Notamacropus eugenii: one gene and its partner. Each later gene encodes a partner of the first gene's protein in a complex. Links are inferred from orthologs where the notes say so. Each region holds a gene or a part of one and is shown on either strand. Other genes may lie near its edges.

Region 1 (7,707 bases):
TTGGTGGCAGAGGCTTTGGCCTTCACCAAACCAACCATAATAACTGGGCAGAAAAGCCAAACCAAGAGCAGAATTGGCTTTAAAAATAACTGTTTTCATGACACAAAGAAAACACAAGACTGGGAAAAGCCAGGTTTTGGCTAGGCAGTGTCTCTTACTATAACTATCACCATATGCTCCTCTTCTAACTTCCCCAATGTCCTCAGAGCAGACTGGAGGTACTGCTGGGAGAATTCACAGGGAGGGAAGGCATAGAGCATGCCAGTGTTGTCTCTGCCCTTGGTCCCTCCCACTGGCAAGCTGATCACCCCAGCAGCCTGCTTCTGTTTCAAGTATGAGACCAGATTCCTGAGAAGCCTCCGCTGCAAACCCGGCTCCACAGTGTGGGTCCCCTCTGCTCCAGGCCCTCCTGGAGAAGCCTGAGTGGCCAGAAGCACCACATAACCATTGGGGCTTCCCTGCTTGATTCTCCGAGTGACCTCATCCAGTTTGGGCTGGTCAAGTCGAAGTCTTTGGGCAATCTTGAGCTGTGTCAGCTTGCTCCCTGAAGCATGGTCTTTGAGGAGGCCGCTGATTACTCCCAGGTCCCCCTCTAGAATGTGCATACAAGTGGGGAAGCAACTGTTTTTCAACACCAAAAGCCCGTTCCAGCCCAGCTGCAGGGTCTGAGCGTACTCAGACAGAGTCTTGAGCTTTTTGGTCTCGGGTTTTGGCTCTTCCATGGGCTTCGCTTCTACCTCGGTTCGATGATTGCGTTCGCTGTCTCTCTTTCTCACCTGGTGAGCGTCGGGGCCTCTCTCTTCGGCCCCGTGCCGGTTGTTGGGCAGGGAGTTGCTGGGCTCCTTCTCTGCCCCCGACTCACCCGTGTGATTTTCTCTCCGGAGCCTCTCGGGGCTTCGGTCTGAGGGCAGCCCGCTGACTTTGGTTCTGCCTCTCTCCTCATAAGGTGAGTGGGCAGTCCGTCCGTGGTCACTGGACAAGCTCCTCCTCTTTCGCCTTTCTTCCCAGGGCTTCGACAGGCCCCGGTCCCCATCGCTGCCCCATCTCTCCCCACTGCGGCTGCGCACAGAACGGCTGTAGCTTTCCAGGCTATTTCTGCGGTCGGTGCTTTTGGAGGGACTGGCCCAGTCGCCCTCCACAAAAGTCCTGTCCCGGTCTGAGTAGAGAAGGTGAGGGGGAGTCCTATCTCGGACCCTCAGGTCGGCCTCCAAATTTCGGTGCCTGGTGTAGCCCTCAGGGAGCAATTCATAGTGCACCGGGAGCGGCGTCGCCTGGCACTGTTGGGGGTATCTGGTCTCCTCAGCTTTGGCAAAATCCACCCTGAGCCTCCTCTCCGGCCCCCCCAAGGGAAAGCCCCTCATTTGGACGCAGGCAGCCTGGGCCGCATCCAGGCTCTCATACTGGATGTAGGCAAAGCTGTCTCCTTTGACGTGGTCAATAGTCCGAATGCTTCCGAAGCGGTCAAACTCCCGGGCCAGGGCGGCCAGAGAGGTGTTGGGCCCCAGGCCTCCGACCCACAGGCGGGTGGTGGGGTTGGCCTTGCCGTAGCCGATCTTGATAGGGTTGCGGCCCACCACCCGCCCCGACATGGCCACCTTGGCCCGGTGGGCCATGTCCAGGTTCTGGAACTTGAGGAAGGCGTAGGCCCCGCCCTGGCCGCGGGCCGGCCTCTTGATCACCACCTCCTCGATGATGCCGTACTTCTCGAAGGCCCGGCGCAGCTCCACCTCGGACACGCCGTGGTCCAGGTTGCCGATGAACAGGTTGCGGGTGGCCCGCTGGTCGTCCTCGGGCATCAGGTCCTCCTCACACACGGCCGGGTAGCCGTAGGGCCGGCCCCGGTCGTCGTACAGCCCGTAGTAGTCCAGGGCCCGGTCCCGGGACAGGCCCACGGCGGCGGCGGCCGCGGCGGCGTCCAGGGCGAAGGCGGCGGCGGCTGCCGCGTGCCGGGCCCGGGGCTCCCGCAGCGGGGGCGCGCCCACGGGGGACAGCGAGCGCTGCTTGTACTGGTAGCCCCCGTGCAGGGGCAGGTAGCCCAGCGGGTCGGCGGGCGCGGGCGGCCCGGGCGGCGGCGTGCCGGCGGCCCCCGCGCTGCTGCTGCTGCGCCGGCTGCTCCCGCCGCCGCCGCCTCGCAGGTACACGGGCTCCACCTTGAGCGGCCGGTCGTAGAGCAGCAGCTGGCGGGCGCGGGCGTGGTGCCGGGCATCGCGGGCGTCCTGCGGGTGCCGGAAGTTCACGTAGGCCACGCGGCCCAGCTCGGGCGTGTGCGACAGGCGCAGGCTGATCTCGCCGAAGCGCTTGAACTGGTGGAACAGGCGGTCCTCCAGGTGCTCGGCCGGCAGCGCGGGGCTCAGGCTGCTGATGAGCAGCGTCTTGTACTCGGGCGGCGGCGGCGGCGGTGGCGGGGCGGGCGCGGGCGGCGGCGGGGCGGGCGCCGGCGCGGGGGGCTCGGGCAGCGGCGGCAGCAGCAGCAGCGGGGACGCCCCCGGGGACGAGGCGGACGCCGAGCCGGGCTCGGCCTTGGCGCGGCCGCCGCCGCCCCCCGAGCGGCCTCCGCCGCCCGCGCGGTGGTTGGAGTCTCCGGAGCCTCGGCCCTCGCGGTGGCCGCCGCCGGAGCCGGAGCCGCCGCCGCGGGGCTTGTCGCGGGCGCGGGCCGGGGCCTGGTGCTTGGCGGGCCCCGAGGCGGAGGCGGAGCCGGAGCTGGAGCTCTTGTGCGCGGCCCGCCGACCCCCGCCGCCGCTGCCGCAGTCGGGCTCCCCGCGCTCCCGCTCGCGCTCGCCGCGCTCCCGCTCCCCGCGCTCGCCCCGCTCCCGCTCCCGCTCCCCGCGCTCCCGATCCCGATCCCGTTCCCGCTCCCGGGGCCGCTTCGCCGACGATGACGACGACGACGCCCCGCGGGCCCCCGGGCTCGAGTCGCGCTCGCTCTGCCGCTTCATGGCGCCGAGGCCGGCCGGGCCTGGCCGGGCCCCCTCCCTCACAGCGCGACGGGGCAGCGGCGCGGGGGCAGCGGCGGCGGGGCCGGGGCCGGAGCAGGAGCAGGAGGAGGAGGCAGCGCCCCCCGGGCCGCCATCTTGGACAAAAGGACTGAGCGCGGCGGCCGCGAAAAGGCGGGGGAGGAAGGGGAGGGGACGGGACGGGGACAGCGCGGCTACGTCATCAAGGCGCGCGGCTCGGCGGCCGGCGCGGGGGGCAGCCTGGCGCACGTCCGACGGGACGGCCCCCCGCCCTTACGTCACTTCCCCCGCCCTCCCGGGCTCGGACGCCGTCGCATTGGACTGGAGCGCGGGCTTTGGCGCCACCTGCCGGCCGAGGGTGAACCCAGCGGCCCGGCGCGGCTTGGGCGCCGGCGGTCACCTCGGCCGCGAGTGAGCCCCGCCGGTGCTGAGGGCGGCCAGGCGCGTCACCAGCGTGGTCGGACGGGTCGTGGTCGGGCCGTGTGGCGGCCCGTGGGGTTCTCTTGGCAGAGGTACCAGCTCATTGTACAGATGAGGAAGCGGAGGCAGACAGGGTGAGGGGACGTGCCGGGGTCCTACAGTCGGAGTCTTCCCGACCCCGTCTCCGCTGCCTCGGTCTTACACCGTGATCTTTGGGGGTCCGGACGGCCGGAGGGGGGAGGGGAGGGGCCCCCCGATCCGCGGCCCGGCCGGGGCACCGGGGGTGCCCGGAGGCGGAGGGGCTGGCCACGCCGCGGGGTCGGACCGCGGCTGTCCCTTGGGGGAGGGGGCGAGGTGCGGGGGAGGCCCCGGGCCCGTGGTCCCGCCCGCACGCTGCGGCCCCGCTCTCACGGCCGGAGCCGGGCCGGGGCGGTCCGACGGGCGCGGGCGCTGAAGCCTGTCCCGCACGCAGCAGGCGCGTTTCCACCCACTTCCTTCAACTTTTTTTTGTTGCCTGTAGGCATCCTAGGGGCAGCCGGGTGGTGCGGTGGGCAGAGCACCACAGCAGGGGGCAGGAGGACCCGAGGCCAGAGCTCACCTCAGACACGACGCTCACTAGCTGTGAGCCCATGGGCAAGTCACTTACCCCAACTGCCTCCGCCTGGGTCACCTCCAGCCATCCTGATGAGTATCTGGTCCCTGGACCCAGGTGGCTCTGGGGGAGAAGTGAGGTTGGTGACCCGCACAGCCCTCCCTCACTCAACACAAGGTGAAGTGCCAGTCCCGTCATCCCTTCTCTGCTGGCACCGTAGAGGTCCTGAGATCATGAATGGGTTCGTGCTTTGAGGAACGTTGGAGTGCCAGGCCAGAGGGAGAGTGCTCAGTCTAAGCTCATCCCTCACATCTCTCTAGTCTATAAAAAGCCTGAACCTAAGAGGTCACGGAAGTCATCCTTACATGTTATAAACGTTAATGGAATCCACCGAGGTCACACAGCTTGGCACAACTTGCGCTCTGAGCCAGTACTGCCAACGTGGCGTATGGTGATTAATTCCTAAATTTATTTTGAGTGGGAGGGTGGCCTCGGAGGGGCAGAGGCAAATGTGTTGAAATATAAATGTTGGGTTACGCTGAGGATGGCTCAAGGACAGGATAGGAGCTGACGGAGGATTTCTAACAGCTACGGGTGCTTGCAGGCATGAGCTCCACCCCTGCCCATCCGCTGGGCTACCTGAGGAGACAGTTTCCTGAGAACTGATGGAGACTCTAGTGGTAAGGTTTTTCACCCTTTTAGATGAGTTATTAAGAGCGATAACAAGAGGCAGCATGAAGACCCAGAACAGCCTCCCACCCCTCTGGCCCTCCCCCCCCCACGATGAGGGGCTTGACTTCGATCTCCAGAACATCTTACAGCACCAGAATTCTGCCAGTTCACTTTCTCCTCTGCATGCTTAGGTCAGAGGGCAAACTTCAGGTTCAGACCCTGCCTTAGAATCGTACAAATGCGTGGCTCTTCAACATGAATACTTTAATCTTATGCCAGGATCCTTAGGTAACAATATTTGTTGTTCAGTTGCTCCCATCATGTCCAGCTCTTCATGACACTTTGGCCATTTCCTTCAGTTTTACAGATGAGGAAACGGAGGTAAACAGACTCAAGTGACTTACCCAACGTTACACAGCTAGTAGGTGTCTCAGTCTGAATTCAGTCTTCCTGACTCCAGGCCAGGGGCTCTATCCACTGCACCACAAGGCTACAAACCTGTCATTTGTCTCATTTGTACATAGGTTATACCAAGATTCCTTTGAAAGGGACACTTTTTGTGCACTTTATTAAAAAGTTGTCTATATGCTATAGTAGGAAAGGTATATTGCAAAAGGTAAGTTGCAGAGATGGTCTTTGTAACTTTGTCATCACTTCCCGTCCCTTGCAGCACCTGCATATACAGTAGGAAGTGTTACCAAAGCTAGTAATAGCCCAGAGATGTCTTTTAATGGCTCGATTCAAGCCAGTTAGAAGCTAGTACTCAAGGCGGAACAACCAATTTGTCTCCAAAGCCTTTCTCAACCTAAGCTCCCAATCACTGGGAGAACATGGAATGGAAAGCAAAGATGATTCACTTTGTCACAAGGGTCACAAACTTCCCCTAGGAAACGAGTCACTCTTTGAAGCAGTAGAAATAGGAACAAATATCAGTAACGTAAAGAAGAAAAAACACTTCCCTTCCAGGCTTTTTGTTAACAGCATCAGTAATGGAGTTTTCTCTCTTAGTGGCTGCACTGTCTGGGGTTGACCCTGGGAGCCCCTCATTTTATCCAGAGGGACATTCACTGGAAGGTGTGGAAATCTTGGCATCGTCTCCTTCAGGAGAGAAAATGAAGCGGACAGCATGGAAGACAGCATGGACTAACCCACTTACACACTGGCCATGAACCAGTTTGGCTGACACGACCAAGGAAGAATTCATGGAAAAGATTCAGGGCTACAAATCATCTAGAAAGAAAACCCCAACTGTAATATCCATATCCAACTTTGTGGAGGTTTTCAAAGCAGCAAACTGGAGAGGACATGACTACATCCCACCATCTTCTTACCTGTGAGTGAGCAAGAGGGGCTGGGGGCCTGCAGTTGGAAGCAGGGGAACATGGGTTTATAATGGGGGTTTCTCAGTATGTCAAAGAGAAGGGGGGGCATTGATTCTGAAGACTCCTGCTTGTACATGGCCAAGAAAAGAATCTAAGTACAAGGCAGAATTATCTGTTGCCAACAATGCTGGCTTAGCTACTTAAATTTCCTTCAAGTGCTGAGAGAACCCTCCAAGATGTTGTGTCTACTGTGGGACCCATCGTTGTGGCCATCAATGCTGTACCTGATGGCTTCTGACTTCTACAGCTCAGGGCCTTACTAAATGACTCCTACTGCTATGGGTCACCAGTCCTGATGATGGGATATAGCTTTGAAGATGAGGTCGAGTCCAACAAACCTTGGGTTTTCAAGAATTGGGGGGATACATGGCTGGACACCCCAACTGTGTATTCTGCTTAGGCCATCAATCCTCTAATGTGAGCTGTCACTGTCAGAAGAGGAGTCAGTGACACATGTTTTAGAACCTGGCTTATGCAAGTCCTAAAACTCCTATGGGACTCTTTAAATCTCACTTTTTTTGTGCTATATTATTATCAGAGAAGAAGGGGATCATTTCCAATACTGCCTCATATTGGACTCACAAGGCAAAAAAAAATTCCCAGGTCAGATTTTTAGTCTCTAATGCTCCCATGGAGTATGTGGCTTTACATACAGAGTGAAAGGGCAAAATGATTCTGGACATCAAGAAACTTGCAGGCAGGGAAAGAATTCACCCTGCAGATCAGAGTATGCTCGTTGTCTGCTTCCTGGCTCTCAGCAAATTTGATCATGGCAAATTAGTGGTTAAGTTCAATGGCCAAGCACAGATCTCTGGGGTCACTCCACTAAAGATTTCCTCCCAAGTTTACATAAAAATATTAGTAATTCCAACTGCAGTATCATCTAGCACATATTTCTGTTTTGTCCATAAGAATCACTTGAAAGATTTTTGGCCAAAGTTTTGTTGAAATCTTTTTGTTATATATTACCCTATATTTACCCCAATTAACCAGTCTGGTAAACTCCCATCAAAAAAAGAAAGGGGGCTAGTTTGGCATGACCTGTTATTGAGGAAACCATGTTGTTTCTTTGTGATCCCTACTTCCATTTCTGGATGTTCACCAAGCATTTAAAATTATTCTAATGGCAATATTTAGCAATTTGTTCTAGAATTTTTCCAGGGACTAAAGTCAAACTTACTGGCCTGTGGTCTGCAGACTACATTCTCTTTCATTTTTTGAAAACTAGGACACTGCCTTTCCCCAATACTGTTGTACTTGTCTAGCTTCCCCAGAATAGAAAGCAACTAAAATTCCCTGATGAAAAGATTAAAAAAAAACCCCAACAGAATGGCTTAAAAGAGGAACACCAAAATAATTAAAAAACAACATCAAAACAAGAAATCAGGATGGAAATCTCAGGCTCTCCAGGGTGACGGATTATCACTTAGAACTCTAAAAAAAAGACAAAAGACCAAGATGGGGGCAGATGAGACCTTCTCTCCAAAACAGTTGAGAAAGGATGGGATTGGAAAGTCAGATTTGGAAGAACATGAGATCTTTACAACAGAGTCCAAGATGAAGGAAAAGACATGAAGGTATCGATGGAATCCTAATAAAGCTGCCCCCAGCCCCAATACTCCAACTTCCTCATAGGCCCCACTGCAAGCCCACCATCCCTACTGAGTCACTCATTCTTGATCCCATC
Region 2 (8,012 bases), on another chromosome or scaffold:
GCACACGATAGGTAAACAGAAGATATCAACAGAGTAATTTCAAGAGGGGGTTGGATCAGAAAAGACCTCAGATAGGAGATAGCACTTGAGCTGTGTTCTGAATAAAGCTGAGGTCTTTTTAAGGCAGAGATAAGGAGGAAATACTCATAGGGGACCAACCATACAAAGGCAAGGTGTTGAAATATAGTTTCTCACATACAAAGAACAATTTGTAAGTTAGTTTGATGGGAACGAAGAGTACGTGCAGAGAAGCAACAGGAAATAAGCCTGGAAAAGGAGAGAGGAGCTATACTGTAGAAGGCTTTAAATGCTTGGCTGGGAAGTTTATGTTTTAATGATTAAAGATTTTTATTGAGGATTTTTTAGTATGGGACTGATAAGATTCAATCTGTGTTTGAGATATATCATCTTGGTAGCTATGTGGAGGATGAAGAGACAGAATAGAGGAAACCAAGTGGCAAGCTATTGTAATAATCTAGATGAAAGGTGATGGGGATCTGAACTATGGTGGTCACTGTTGTTTGTCCCAAGAGTTGCGCAGTCATCGGCCTCACTTTTTCTTCCTGAGTCACTGAGGTCCAGTAGCAGAGAAGCGGATTGATATGAGAGGTTGTGGTAGTGGCAACTCACTGGAGATGGGCATTGAGGAAGAAGAAAGAATCAAAGATGACTCTGGAAGGTTTCAAACCTGGATAACTGGGAATTTAATGATTCTTCATCAGAAATAGTAAAATTTAAAGGAGGGGCAGTTAATTAGAAAATTTATAATAAATTCTCTTCTGGCCATTCTGAGTCTGAGATGCCCACAGAGATGCCCAACAGACACTTGGTAATGTAGGGTTTAGTTTAAGAGAAAGGTTCGGGCTGGATAAATAGACCTATATGAAAAGATGCAGAATGAAGACAGCCAAAGCAAAAGAAGAACTTAAACAACGACTGCAACAACGTTATGGGAATGGGAACAAATAGGAAACAAAACTCAAGACAAGACACAGTGGATAATGTTGTAACTCTCTTATTAAATTTAAATCTATTCAATAAACTCCAGTGACTCCTTATTACCTTCAGGATCAAATATAAAATCCTCTGTTTGGCTTTTAAAACCCTCCATAACCTAACCCCTCCCTACCTTTTCAGTCTTACATTTTACTCCCCTCCACAGACCATGCAATTCAGTGACACTGCCCTCCTTGGCATTCCTCAACAAGACACTCCATCTCCGACTCTATATTTTCTTTTTCCTTCAAATTTAAAGTTGCATTGATGTGTTCTGTCTTCAAATTACCTACATTTACAGATTATTCCCACTATGTGAGAAATCTCTTGGAAAAAGTGGAATAAAACTAAAAATGTGTTAAGTGGCCTTATTTGAAAGTTCAGGCACTATTTCACATCTGTAGCATTCTGCTGACTTTCTATTTAAAAAAAAAAATCCATTTGTTCTCCCTCTCCCATATCCATCCCATGGACAGAGAGCATATGCATAGCTATTTTTACATCATGCCTGGAATTCTCTCCATTTACATCTCTGGCTTCCGGCTTCCTTCAAGTCCCAGCTAAAGTCCCATCTTCTATGAGAAACGTTTCCAATCCCCTTTAATGCCAGTGCTTTCCTCTGATCTCCAGTTTATCCAGTACACAGCTTGTTCATACAATCATTTACATGTTATCTCCCTCAAGAGAACCTGAGCTTGGGGGCAGAGGACTTTTCCTCTTCTTTGTATCCCCAGCCCTTAGCAAGGTGCCTGGCACGTAATAAGTTCTTCAAAAATACTTGCTAACTGACAAAAACATTGATTCTTCCTTTCTTTTAATAAACAGCAAACTATTAGTGTGAAGTTTTATGGACGATTACAGTAAAATGATTGAGAGGATTGCATTTGGAGCCAGGGGACCTCAGTTTGGATACTAGGTCTGCTCCCTACTAGCTGTACGTGATCTTGGGCGAGGCAGTTCCCATCTCTTGTCCTCAGTCTCTGTGCCTCTGAGTTCTTTCCAACTCTAAATCTATGAGTCCACAGTCAAACGTCACATTTTATACTGTTTTCAGTATACAAAGGATCAAACGTTACAAAGGAATAAACTGTGAGTGTGGATTTGTATGATATAATGAAACAAAATTTATCAACAAAAAAATTAAAAATGTTAAAAAAATGGACAAACAGATAGCTTTGGTGCTACATTAGTATCCAGGCTGCACTAAAAGCCTTAGAGGAAGGCCTTCTGCAGGGGACTTACGGGAGGGCAAGGGCAAAAATATCACCAGAGAATAATAGCTAGCATTTGTACAGCACTTTAAGGATTGCAGAATCCTCTCCGTTTACATACCCCCAGGTATACGGGGACTCCGGCTACGTCACGCTGCCTTTCCTGGGGGTGTTCTCTACATTTTTAAGATGAAGAAACTGAGGCAATGGGGAAGTCAAATGACTTGCCTGGGGCCCCCAGGTAGCAAGCGTCTGGCAGGATGTTAGCACCTGAGCTCGTGTGGCCCTGGTTCTGTTCTGGTGCTCCAGCGCTTCGCCAGGCGGGTCTATATATGTAGATATATGTATGTGTGCGTGTGTATATGTATGTGTGTATACGTATATGTATACATATATACACACACATACACATACACACATATGTACATATACATATATGCACACACACACACAGCGGGCCGTTCCGGGTCCCCCGCCCCCGCCCCCGCGGGCCACCTGCTCACGTGACGCGCCCGGCCCGGCCCCGAGGCTGCCCCCCGGCTCGGGCCCTCCCGCGCCCGCTCCTCACCGAGGTGGCCTGAGTCCTGCTTCCGCCGCCGCTGCAGCCGCTCCCGCAGCGAGTCCAGCTGCTTCTTGTGGGCCTGGATGGAGCTCCACGTGTCGGACATCTTCGGGACCGGGGCGGCGAAGCTGCGGCCGCCCCTGCGCCTCCTCCCCGGCCAGGGCCGCCCGCAGCGGGAGGGCGGCGGGGAAACTTCACATGGACACCGGGGCCAAACAGGAAGAGCCCGGAGGCCGCGGGCGGCGCCATTTCCGCTTCCGCCCTCACTCGAAGCCCGAGCGGGAACGCTAGGAATCATGGGTCTAAGGCTCCATTTTCCTTTTTGGCGGCGTAAAATGCCGCGGCACCGGCGGGTACTGGCAACGTGAAGCCGAAGCGACCATGCTGGGAGTTGGCAGGAGGGCGGCCATGTTGATACAGCCGCATGGGCGGCCATGTTGGACGTTAGCGGAAGAGGGGCCATGTTAGTCACCTCGTTAGGAAGGCGGTCCGGAGGGTGAAAGGGTCCGAGGCCGGAGCGGGGACCCTGAGTTAGCACTAACGTCACCATAGCCTGGGAGGTGCGCACAGCACCGTCCGTTTGGGAGCTCTGATCCTCCCCGTGAATCCGTGCCATGTTTAAGTGGGTCAGCGGGTCAGCGGGTCAGCAGGTCAGGGGGCATGTGCCAGGGACTGCAGACAAAGCCCGAAGCAGCCCCCGCCCCCTGGGGAGACAGTGCGCGTGTATATTCTGTGTAGTGTGTGTCTTATTTGTGTGTTTATCCGCACGTTTATACACGTGTGTTTTATTTATGTGTGTTTATCCGCACGTTTATACACGTGTGTTTTATTTACATGTGTTTATCTGCACGTTTATACACGTGTGTTTTATTTACGTGTGTTTATCTGCACGTTTATACACGTGTGTTTTATTTACATGTGTTTATCTGCACGTTTATACACGTGTGTTTTATTTGTGTGTTTATCCGCACGTTTATACACGTGTGTTTTATTTACATGTGTTTATCTGCACGTTTATACACGTGTGTTTTATTTGTGTGTTTATCTGCACGTTTATACACGTGTGTTTTATTTACGTGTGTTTATCCGCACATTTATACACGTGTGTTTTATTTACGTGTGTTTATCCGCACGTTTATACATGTGTGTTTTATTTACATGTGTTTATCCGCACGTTTATACACGTGTGTTTTATTTACGTGTGTTTATCCGCACGTTTATACACGCGTGTTTTATTTGTGTGTTTATCTGCACGTTTATACACGTGTGTTTTATTTACGTGTGTTTATCCGCACATTTATACACGTGTGTTTTATTTACGTGTGTTTATCTGCACGTTTATACACGTGTGTTTTATTTACATGTGTTTATCCGCACGTTTATACACGTGTGTTTTATTTACATGTGTTTATCCGCACGTTTATACACGTGTGTTTTATTTACATGTGTTTATCCGCACGTTTATACACGTGTGTTTTATTTACGTGTGTTTATCCGCACGTTTATACACGTGTGTTTTATTTGTGTGTTTATCTGCACGTTTATACACGTGTGTTTTATTTACGTGTGTTTATCCGCACATTTATACACGTGTGTTTTATTTACGTGTGTTTATCTGCACGTTTATACACGTGTGTTTTATTTACATGTGTTTATCCGCACGTTTATACACGTGTGTTTTATTTACATGTGTTTATCCGCACGTTTATACACGTGTGTTTTATTTACATGTGTTTATCCGCACGTTTATACACGTGTGTTTTATTTACATGTGTTTATCCGCACGTTTATACACGTGTGTTTTATTTACATGTGTTTATCTGCACGTTTATACACGTGTGTTTTATTTACGTGTGTTTATCTGCACGTTTATACACGTGTGTTTTATTTACATGTGTTTATCTGCACGTTTATACACGTGTGTTTTATTTGTGTGTTTATCCGCACGTTTATACACGTGTGTTTTATTTACATGTGTTTATCTGCACGTTTATACACGTGTGTTTTATTTGTGTGTTTATCCGCACGTTTATACACGTGTGTTTTATTTACGTGTGTTTATCCGCACATTTATACACGTGTGTTTTATTTACGTGTGTTTATCTGCACGTTTATACACGTGTGTTTTATTTACATGTGTTTATCCGCACGTTTATACACGTGTGTTTTATTTACGTGTGTTTATCCGCACGTTTATACACGTGTGTTTTATTTGTGTGTTTATCTGCACGTTTATACACGTGTGTTTTATTTACGTGTGTTTATCCGCACATTTATACACGTGTGTTTTATTTACGTGTGTTTATCCGCACGTTTATACACGTGTGTTTTATTTACATGTGTTTATCCGCACGTTTATACACGTGTGTTTTATTTACATGTGTTTATCCGCACGTTTACACATGTGTGTTTTATTTACGTGTGTTTATCCGCACGTTTACACACGCGTGTTTTATTTACATGTTTATCCGCACGTTTACACACGTGTGTTTTATTTACGTGTGTTTATCCGCACGTTTATACACGTGTGTTTTATTTACATGTGTTTATCCGCACGTTTATACACGTGTGTTTTATTTGTGTGTTTATCCACACGTTTATACACGTGTGTTTTATTTACGTGTGTTTATCTGCACGTTTATACACGTGTGTTTTATTTACGTGTGTTTATCCACACGTTTATACACGTGTGTTTTATTTACATGTGTTTATCCGCACGTTTATACACGTGTGTTTTATTTGTGTGTTTATCCGCACGTTTATACACGTGTGTTTTATTTACATGTGTTTATCCACACGTTTATACACGTGTGTTTTATTTGTGTGTTTATCCGCACGTTTATACACGTGTGTTTTATTTACATGTGTTTATCCGCACGTTTATACACGTGTGTTTTATTTACATGTGTTTATCCGCACGTTTATACACGTGTGTTTTATTTACATGTGTTTATCTGCACGTTTATACACGTGTGTTTTATTTACGTGTGTTTATCTGCACGTTTATACACGTGTGTTTTATTTACGTGTGTTTATCCGCACGTTTATACACGTGTGTTTTATTTACGTGTGTTTATCCGCACGTTTATACACGTGTGTTTTATTTACGTGTGTTTATCTGCACGTTTATACACGTGTGTTTTATTTACGTGTGTTTATCTGCACGTTTATACATGTGTGTTTTATTTACATGTGTTTATCCGCACGTTTATACACGTGTGTTTTATTTGTGTGTTTATCCGCACGTTTATACACGTGTGTTTTATTTACGTGTCTTTATCCGCACGTTTATACACGTGTGTTTTATTTATGTGTTTATCCGCACGTTTATACACGTGTGTTTTATTTATGTGTGTTTATCCACACGTTTATACACGTGTGTTTTATTTATGTGTTTATCCACACATTTATACACGTGTGTTTTATTTATGTACACGTATAAATAAAGTACACACTCGTATGTATGTGGATATATGTTTGTCGTATATACACATACCTGTACGTGTATACATTTTTTTTCTAGAGGGAATTCAGCAGAAAAGTAGGGGAAAGAGGGCCAGGAAAGGGAAAGGGAAAGGCTTGAATCCGTGGGATTTGAGCTGAGTCTTGAATGAAGGCAGGAGGGAGGTGTGAAGGTGGGAGGAGAGAATTCCAAGCTCCTGAGACATGGTCTGAGATGGAGGCCAGCGTCGCTGCACCGTGGAGAGTCTGGAGGGAAGTAAAGTGTGAAGACTAGGAAGGTACATGGTGAGGAGCATTGAATATCAAACATTTTATGTTTGATCCAGGAGGTAATAGGGAGCCACAGGAGTTATCAGGAGGGAGAGGTAACACGGTCAGACCTGTGCTTTAATAAAATGTAAAAGACATTTTGTAAAGGGAGAAATGGCAGATTTGGACAACAGAGTGGGGGAATGAGTGAAGAGTTGCGGGTAACACTATTGAGAAAATGGTGGTTCCTTAACAGTAATAGGCAAGTTGGGAAGAGGGGAGAGTTTTGAGGGGAAACTAATGAGTTCTCTTTTAGACACTGAAACGTCCCATGAGACATCTAATCCAAGATGTCCAAAGGAAATGGAGGTCAGGACAGAGGTGCCGGATAATTCAATATAAAAATCATCTGCGTAAAGATAATAACTGAATGCATGAGACCTGATGAGATCACCATTCAAAATAGTATAGACTATAGGGAGAGGAGAGGAGGAACCAGGACAAAACCTTGGGGTCACTCAGGGTTAGTGGGAGTGAACTTCTCAATGAAAATTGGGAAGAACATCCTAAGAGGTAGAAGGGAGAAGACAGTGCAAAGGAGAAGAGGGTGCTTGACAGCGTCAAAGGTCCAGAAAAGTCAAAAAGGATAGGAACTGAAAAAAAAGGACATGAGGAATCACTGGGAACTTTGGAGATATCACTTTAACAGAATAAGCAGCGATGCACCACAATTCAAAAAAAGCTTAATAATTATTGCCTTTAAATCAAGTAGGTCCTAACAAACCTGGCATTATGGTTGCCACTTTGGTGAGTTTTAGTTTCCACATTAGGCTGGGGTGTTTATTTTAACATTTATTCATTCATTTAATAAAACACTAAATGCTTTCTATGTCTGAGACCCCATGCTATCAGTGAGCAATACATGATATTAGGTAGAATATAAGTTCCTTGAGGGCTAAGAATGTTATTTGGTTGTCCTGTTGCCCATAGTACCTAGTACAGGATCTTTGGCATTTAGTAAACCATCATAAATATTTCAAGAATTGATTTAAATTGAATATGCAATAAGTACCATACTGGTGGAATGAAGTAACTACTTTAGGAAAGAGTGTTCATGTGATCAGAAAAAAACATGGGGAAGGTTTAGTGTTTCAGCATTTTAGCTGAGTCTTGAAAAAGAGCTAGCATTTCCTTCCAGGAGGCTAATATGTAAGACGAGTGGATACTAGGAATGGGAAAAAGCATGGGCAAAGGCACAGAAATGGAAAAGAGATTTACCTATGGGAACTGAGTACTCTTGATTGACTAAAGCATGGCATTCACACGGGGGAGGAAAGGGAGAAAAAGCTTTAAAAGTACATTGGGGTTTGAAAAAGAAAGGTGTTTTGGAGGACCTTACACGAGAGGCTGAGATGTCTGGATTTTATTCAGTAGGCTATGTGAAATAATTGAATATTTTTGAGTGGGAGAATGATAAGAAGAAAATCTGGCCATGATGCCCAGGATGGATCAGCAGAGAAAAACTTGGAGAC

What was found. Proteins that work in one complex are often made in the same cells at the same time.
Region 2: RBM15B (region 1) and METTL3 share a complex: the UniProt entries of both Homo sapiens proteins name them as parts of the WMM complex. The link is inferred for Notamacropus eugenii from reciprocal best matches to the Homo sapiens genes RBM15B and METTL3.

The regions. Positions count from the first base shown.
Region 1 is NC_092872.1:3,418,262-3,425,968, forward strand, and holds the start of RBM15B (putative RNA-binding protein 15B), read right to left. Parts: upstream 2,981-7,707; 5' UTR 2,946-2,980; coding exon of another isoform or gene 2,937-2,945; coding exon 141-2,936; 3' UTR 1-140. Other genes in the region: uncharacterized protein, read left to right, coding at 2,935-2,945, 2,981-3,508, 3,895-4,147. UniProt on the Homo sapiens protein: RNA-binding protein that acts as a key regulator of N6-methyladenosine (m6A) methylation of RNAs, thereby regulating different processes, such as alternative splicing of mRNAs and X chromosome inactivation mediated by Xist RNA.
Region 2 is NC_092878.1:12,405,404-12,413,415, reverse strand, and holds the start of METTL3 (N(6)-adenosine-methyltransferase catalytic subunit METTL3), read right to left. Parts: upstream 3,030-8,012; 5' UTR 2,876-3,029; coding exon 2,776-2,875; intron 1-2,775. UniProt on the Homo sapiens protein: The METTL3-METTL14 heterodimer forms a N6-methyltransferase complex that methylates adenosine residues at the N(6) position of some RNAs and regulates various processes such as the circadian clock, differentiation of embryonic and hematopoietic stem cells, cortical neurogenesis, response to DNA damage, differentiation of T-cells and primary miRNA processing.